Danio rerio: one gene and its partner. The protein of the gene in region 2 purifies or fractionates together with the protein of the main gene of each other region. This does not show direct contact. Links are inferred from orthologs where the notes say so. Each region holds a gene or a part of one and is shown on either strand. Other genes may lie near its edges.

Region 1 (3,826 bases), on a different chromosome or scaffold from region 2:
AGTCTTACACCACTCATCATCTGCTGCAAACTAGCCCTCTTTATACAAGAGAAATCCTGTAAATAATACAAATCAAAACAGGATTAAGACAAAAAGTGCATTGTTCTCCGACTGAACACAGACTCAACAAATGTTTCCTCAGGATGTGGACTGATAAGTTGTGCAAATGAACTAATGCAGTCCTTAACAATCTCTCATGTTTCTCTTGTGTCATGCGCGAGGATGACATCATGGAAGAGTTACAACATGTGTGCGTGTGTGTGTGTGTGTGTGTGTGTGTGTGTGTGTGTGTGTGTGTAATGCTGAAATCATTCCACCAACACCCCACTCTCTTTCTCTGGGGACAGTTATGTAAGGTACAAGTTTTACAAGTTAGAAGTTTCTAATGAAAGTGTTCAATTTATTATTCAATGCTACATATTTTGTTATTTACACTTAAAAACACACATTAAAAACCTTTATAGAAAATCTAGCACACTCACACATCATCGGCGGTGAGTGTGTGTTTCAATAAGCCTGCGCATTGGGCTCTAAGAGATGTGTAGCGTGCATGTCTCGGGTCATGTTGTTTTTCTCTCGGAGTTTAGCTTGAAGTAGCGTGTGCTCCACCACCCCCATCCGAACATCCATCTGCTCAATCTCCTGCTTCAGCTTGGTCAAACTCTGACGGATTTTCACTACTGGCGCTGCAGCACAAAACACATTGACACGTGTGAAGTAGCGCTGACATAAACAAACCGCACTGTCAATGTTGTTGTGTGTGAGAATGTGGTTTTACTGTACCTCCATCTGACATGCTGCTGCCTTTCTCTTCCATTTCCTGCTTGACTTTGTCTAACTCCTCGCTAATCTGAAGCACAAATATAATGAATATTACAATTAGAGAATTAATTAAAAGTGTTTTTTCACAATTCAAGGTCACTGCTTATGCTATTTGAAGTTATTCTAACAGCATAACTGTTCTGACAACACAACCTGCAGTGAGAAAACCTCTCATTACCAGAAATAGAGTGCATCCTGAAAATATTCATAGCACTTCACTGTTTCCACATTTTAACATTACAGCCTTATTCCAAAATTGATTTATTGAACTTTATCTATTTACCCAACATTCTATACACAATACCCCATAATGACAATGTGAAAAAAGAGTTTTTGAAACTGTTGCAAATTTATTAAAAATAAAAAACCTGAAAAATCAGATGTACATCTGTATTCACAGCCTTTGCCGTGAAGCTCTAAATTGAGCTCAGCTACATTCTGTTTCCACTGATCATTCTTGAGATGTTTCTGCAGGTTAATTGGAGTTCACCTGTGGTAAATTCAGATGATTGGACATGATTTGAAAAGGCATACACCTGTCTATATAAGGTCCAGGGTTGACAGTGCCAAAGCACAAACCAAGCATGAAGACAAAGGAGTTGTCTGTAGACCTCCGAGACAGGATTGTCTGGAGGAACAAGGCTAAGGAAGGTTACAGAAAAATTTTCAAAACCTCCACTTTGTTTTCAAATCAATGCATTTTGAGTGCCCAAAAGGACGCTGCCATGTAAAAACACAAACAAAACACTTAAAAATCCTGGTTTTGGCTGACAATTTTGTTGTGTTAATGACCCCTCAATCAATCAGCCAGCAATTTGTTTAGTCTTTTTTCTTCTTTTTCCTTGAAGCAAGCTAAATAATCTGCCAAAGATGAAAGCAAAATAATCTTATGTCAAAAGGAAAAAAAAAGATTATTTTGCTTACCCCATTTGCTAATTTTAGCTTTTTTTTTAAGGAAAACTCACTTAATTTGGCATATTATTTCTTTTAAAAAGATAATAATTTTTGCTTGTCTAGAAAATGCTTTGTGATTTAAGAATCCATAGATATTTAGACTAAAAACAAGACAAAAAAAAGAAAATTTTTAGAAAAGCAGTTTTTGCAGAGTCAAACAGCAAAATGGGCATAGCAGTTATTTAAAGCTGAAAAAACTGACATGATAAAATGGCCTATCCATTTCATTGTAGTGTCCTGATCTAAACCTGCTTAAAACATCTGAGAAAAAAAAAACTCCCCAAACCTGACCAAACAACCTGTCACAAATGAGAAATTGAGCATTTGCACGCCACAAAGATCCAACAAACCAATCAATTCCCCGATTGGCGAATCACATCCTACTTTAATTTATATGTTTCAGAATATTTGTCAATTTGAAATTAAGGAAGAAGGAACTACTGCAATTTTTTTTTAAAACATGCTAGCTTAGACTCACCTCAGCCAAAATCCTGGTTCTCTCTGTGACACCTCCACTGGCCTGCTGATAAAGCTCCTTCACCTGGGAGACAAAAGTGTTTGCAATTGACAACTCTATGTTTGACCACTCTATGAGTAATAACCGTTTGGGTTTTGATTGGTTGAGCTGTTCACCTTGTTGAGCTGTGATTGTGCTTGCCGGTATTCTGAAATAAGATGCTCGAGCTGAGTGTTGAGATATTTCTCACGACTGCTCACTTTCTCCAGAGTTTTGCTGATGTCCTCCCTCAGCTTAAACAGACAACCCTAAAAATATACACATATACATTTCAGAATTAGTCAATATTCCAGTGTTTTTTTTTGCACATAAAGCCTGAATTTATTTGATTGAAAAACAACAGTAATAGTTTGGTGATTCATTCATTCATTCATTCATTTTCTTGTTGGCTTAGTCCCTTTATTAATCCGGGGTCGCCACAGCGGAATGAACCGCCAATTTATCCAGCAAGTTTTTACGCAGCGGATGCCCTTCCAGCCGCAACCCATCTCTGAGTCTGGGAAACATCCACACACACATTCACACACTACGGACAATTTAGCCAACCCAATTCACCTGTACCACATGTCTTTGGACTGTGGGGGAAACCGGAGCACCCGGAGGAAACCCACGCGAAGGCAGGGGGAACATGCAAACTCCTATAGTTTAGTGAATTTATTACAATTTAAAAGAACTGTTTTCTATTTAAAAGTGTTGTTTATTCGTGTGATTGTAAACCATTAATGCTCATTTGTATATTTGAATTACTATCATTAATGACCAATTATTATTAAGAGTTATTATTAATATAATAATCTTTGAAAACAGTTTTAGCTACTTTTTTAAACCTCAATTGATCAATGTTACTAAATTTTTAGATAAACAGAATTTTCAAAAGAAAATTATTTACTTTAAACACAAAATTTGCAACATTAGCATTTTCTTTCCTCTCACTCAAATCAATTTAATACATTGTTGTTTAAAAATATTAAATATTATTTAATTTACAATTATTGTAAAAAATATAATTATTTTGTAGTTGTACTTCCCAAAAGCAAAACTGAATTTCACACTGCAAATAATAGTAAAGTTTTCTAAATACTTAGCATGTCATTGCAGAAATAATTTATACATTTTTAATTACTTGAATGTATTTGTAATCAGGTAAATGCTGCCTTAGTAAGAACCCTTTCTAAACATTTTTACAAATCATATTTTTAAAATCATATGCTACACATAAATTTAACATTTCTTATTATTATCTAATTTGCTAACTGTTTAAACACATCTTTGACTGATGGATGACCTTGGCATCTTGCAGGGATGTGTTGATGCCATCTTGATGCTGATGCATTTGATCGAGGTGAATCCTCCAATCCTGAAACACAGTAACCCGTTACTCAATCTTCAACCAATGAGTCTCTAATTCACCTTTCATGCATCAAGCATCAACCTTATTGTCAGTGCGGATGGTGACTTTAAGCTGTGGAAGAACTCGCTCCACCTCCAGATTCCATTCGGCAGCATCAACATCTGACTCCAAAACCACTGCAG
Region 2 (4,477 bases):
GTACTATTCTGTGCTCTTTTCACTTATCAAACTGAACATTCAGTTTTTCACAGGGTATTATTTAAGCTGTTCTTTTCTTTTTAATTCTCTTTTTTGTAAATTGTATCAATGAGAGTTCCAAGAATATTCATGTAATGTTTCCTTTATTTGCCACAGGATGCTGTGAGGAATGGTCTTGTGGCCACAGAAGTTCTGATGTGGTTCTACATCGGGGAGATCATTGGGAAGAGAGGCCTCATTGGCTATGATGTATAAATGTGGACTGTCCTGCTTGCTTGTTCTCTTGGCTGAGCTTTGTCTGTTTTCTTTATCAGATTCTTGGAATCCAGGAACGAAATAAATGAATATTATTAACGAAATATCACCCTTTTGAGGTTCTTTACTTCCAGTGGACATATTTGCCACTGTATAACGGTACAGTGAATTAACAATAACGTTTAAGCTTTGTGGTTGTCAATCGTAGATCTATTTAAAGTAGAATCCATGCATTTTCCAATTTTTACACTAGTTTAGCGATTTCAAAGAGAGCCCTTATTGAAGGATACAGAATCTTTCCTTTACTCTTAAATCAAGGTGATTTTAATGCGATTGTATAATAAATTGAATCGTGATCACATTTTGACAATATAATTGGCGAACAGAGGACTAACATAATTTTTTTTCATGTATAGACTTATCTAATATACATAAAGTACAAAATGTGTATTATGTTATAATTGACATCTCTTCACGTTCTTGGCTTTCTGATAGCATCCGCATAACTTTTCCCAAGTATTTGTTGAACTCCTGTCGGACCTCTTCAGGCTCTTCCTCAAGGTTTGAGTGAATGAGAGGCAGTTTGTTTAACTGTGGAGCTGCAAAGAAAATACATTATAATAATGTCATATTCATAATGGATACATAATGTCATGCGTCCAACAAATAATGTATATGATGAGGTGCCCAGAGGTTTACAAAAGTATCTTTCTTTATTCAATCAATCATTAATTTATTTAATGTAATGATAATTTCTTAAGTCAATCATTCATTAATGTATTTAATTATAGTTTATTTAATCAATCTTTTTTCCTAGACACGTTAAAAGAACTGATGCTATAAAGATACAATAGTCAACATCTAAAGTGGATCAAAACCTTTTATCAAAGTTGTCCTAAAGCTATTGAACAACAACTATTCTTGTTTTGGGATGATTTTGAAAAACTTTTTTTGATCCACTTTAAATGTTATCTACTATAGTGGAAGTTACCTAATGATGGACGGTTCGTGTCAGCCCCACTCCCTGGTTTATGATGTGCTATGAGTAAACACTGGCCCTCCAGCAGCCCTTGTGATGAGATGAATGCAGAGTACCAGGTCTCAATTTCCTTTAGATGACTGGGCACATCTGGGTTAAATACAACAGCTACCCCATTGGAGTCTTTCATCAAAGCTGGCCAGCATGATTCAAACCTGTGCACATACAATACTGAATGAATTCACCAAAGGAAAAAAATGAACAACTTTGATTGAGCAAAGTGGTTAATATTTAGTCCACTTACTTAAAATCTCCCGCACAATCCCACAGTTCCACATCACATGATGAACTTTTGTTGCCATTATGTAAATTGTGTGATTCAAACTCAAGAATCCTGAAGATGGAGAATTAATATTTGAGTGTCTAGTAACAACAAAACTGTGTACAGTTGAAGTAAGAATTATTAGCCCTCCTGAATTAATAGCCCCCCACAGTTTATTTTCCCCCAATTTATGTTTAATGGAGAGAAGATTTTTTCAACAAATTTCTAAACAATAGTTTTAATAACTAATTTCTAATAACTGATTTTATTTATCTTTGCCATGATGACAGTATATAATATTTTACTAGATATTGTTCAAAACACTTCTATACAGCTTAAAGTGACATTTTGAGGCTTAACTAGGTTAATTAATTAGGTTAACTAGGCAGGTTAGGGTAATTAGGCAAGTTATTGTATAACGATGGTTTGTTCTGTAGACTTGGAAAAAAATACAGAATAAAGGGGCTAATCATTTTAACCTTAAAATGTTTTTATTATTATTATTATTATTATTAACTGCTTTCATTCTAGTCAAAATAAAACAAATTAGACTTTCTCTAGAAGAAAATTTCATCAGACACACTGTGATAATTTCCTTGCTCTATTAAACGTCATTTGGGAAATATTTGAAAAAGAAAGAAAATTCAAAGGGGGGAGAATAATTCTGACTTCAACTATGTATATATATATATATATATATATATATAGATAGATAGATAGATAGATAGATAGAAGATTTCAGATTTTCAGATTTCTTTAACTATAGAGTATATTATACTACAATACACCACAGATAACTAACGTTATAGTAAATGTATAGTGTACTTATAAATATATTATTTCTATATATATATAAGTTCTTTAAATCAACCCACCTAACGCCTTGTGTTGGGCTGTAATCAGCTCCGATTGATTCCGTTGTATCGGAGAGAAAATTGGCCAATGCTGTTTTCCCACACTGACAGTAAAATATATCAATCAGTGATGAACAGTGAATTAATCATACACCGCATTTTACTGACAATCAAACTGCTTACCTCGCTTGGTCCAATTAATAATATTTTCACCTTAAACATGGTGAAGTACGTTAACGATAGAAGCAAGGCAAAAATACTATTCTGCTTAGCAAACGAGATAACGCTATCTTCTGTTATTAAATTAACATTTCTACTGCGTATACGTTAAAAAAGACAAATAAATAAAGCGTCAAATCAAAGCGACATTTTAACAGACATCGACAAGCAGCTAACGTTACATAAAGCGTACAATGAGCTAAAGCTAACTTATGGCTGACATAAACATCTCGTTTCCAAGGCAATGATGCTAGAGTTTAAACCTGCAGATTCGCCAAAAAGCTAAACTCGCTAAAAACTCGCTAAATTCGCTTAAAAACGACATAGTTGGAAATATGAAGTAGCTAGCAAAATATGAGTTCGTTTTTCTAACTTAACAAACATAAGATCAGGGTATAAAAGTTAGAAAAAAAACAAAGGCATAATATTACAACTTGTTTAACAAGGGACATGTATGTTTGACCTTTTAAGTATTGGCAGACTTTTTACAAGTATATTTTTTCAGGTTTTTCTAAACCAGTTTTAGTTTTTGAAACTTAATCATAAAAGGTTGCTTTATGTCTGAAGTGTGGGAGTTGTGTTTCCTCTAACAGCCACATGAGGACAGCACACATCTGTTTCAAATCCGACATGCCTGTGAATTGAGCGAATTCCGCACATTTTTGTCTTCAGTAAAGTCATCTGCAAACACAACACCTGTACGGCCAAGGAAAGCAGGTTTAACAACTAAATAGGTAAGTTAACACAGAGCTGCTAGCATAAACTATGACAATGTGAAATTATCCAAAGACCTCGTTCATAGTAGGCCTACCTAAACCACACGTAGCTAGTTTCAAGGAAAAAAACTTTACCCTAGAAAAACTATAAAAGTGTGAAGTTCTTTGAAAAAATGTTGAGAAAACTCGTTCATATCAGCTGTATGATTCATTGCTCACTGCTGCAGTATAAACACGCTCACCCACAGAATTGTTTAGCAGCTTACAACTAATTCTCAAAATAAACATCTTTTTTTTTTTTACTGAAAAAACCTGTTTTACACGCACACTGGTCAACAAGACAGTGACCACTGACCTCCAAACGTCTTATCAGTGTGTGATTTTTTTTTTTTTATTGGGTGAAATGAACATTCAAAATGAATGCTAGTAAATCGTTGAGTTTTTAGTTGTGTTGGAATTTTGGTCTTTTGGTTTGTTGTATTTTTCTGAATATTTTAGGAAGGTTTTGGACGAGAGAATTTATGTCCATCTTAATTAATATTAAAGGCTAAAAACCTGAATGTCTGCATAACATACAGTTAATGTCCAACACTATACCAGGGGTCACTAAAATTGGTTCTGGAGGAATGACAGTTTGTCTGGAAGTTTTGAGTACACCCACCTTAGTAATTAAGACCTTGAATAGCTTAATTACTGGCCAAGAGAAGTTTTTCTATGTGGGATAATTTTGCTCATTTATAGTGCATCTGGAAAGTATTCATAGCGCTTCCCCTTTTCCACATTTTTTAAGTTACAACCTTATTCCAAAATAGATTAAATTTTCTAAAAACTCTACACACAACACCCCATAATGACAATGTAAAGAAAGGTTTTTTGAAATTGTTGCAAAATTAATAAAAATAAAAAAGCTAAAAAATCACATGTGCACAAATATTCATAGCCTTTGCTGTAAAGCTCTAAATTGAGCTCCGTTACATTCTGTTTCCACCGATCATTCTTGAAATGTTTCAGCAGCTTAACTGGAGTTCACCTGTGGTAAATTCAGTTGATTGAACATGATTTGAAAAGGCATACACCTGTCTATATAAGGTCCCATGGTTGACAAAGCACAAACTAAGCATGAAGACAAAGG

The links.
Region 1: the proteins of ift22 (region 2) and ift57 purify together in Homo sapiens (affinity purification with mass spectrometry; 3 studies listed by BioGRID and IntAct, counting the BioPlex papers as one, with this or other methods). This does not show direct contact. The link is inferred for Danio rerio from reciprocal best matches to the Homo sapiens genes IFT22 and IFT57.

Annotation. Positions count from the first base shown.
Region 1 is NC_133177.1:45,220,046-45,223,871, reverse strand, and holds the end of ift57 (intraflagellar transport protein 57 homolog), read right to left. Parts: coding exon 3,726-3,826; intron 3,651-3,725; coding exon 3,579-3,650; intron 2,542-3,578; coding exon 2,410-2,541; intron 2,318-2,409; coding exon 2,255-2,317; intron 851-2,254; coding exon 784-850; intron 687-783; coding exon 508-686; 3' UTR 421-507; downstream 1-420. UniProt on the Homo sapiens protein: Required for the formation of cilia. Plays an indirect role in sonic hedgehog signaling, cilia being required for all activity of the hedgehog pathway.
Region 2 is NC_133180.1:31,318,974-31,323,450, forward strand, and holds ift22 (intraflagellar transport protein 22 homolog), read right to left. Parts: upstream 2,859-4,477; 5' UTR 2,633-2,858; coding exon 2,594-2,632; intron 2,515-2,593; coding exon 2,432-2,514; intron 1,629-2,431; coding exon 1,539-1,628; intron 1,450-1,538; coding exon 1,247-1,449; intron 855-1,246; coding exon 706-854; 3' UTR 561-705; downstream 1-560. Other genes in the region: atp5l (ATP synthase subunit g, mitochondrial), read left to right, coding at 157-255. UniProt on the Homo sapiens protein: Small GTPase-like component of the intraflagellar transport (IFT) complex B.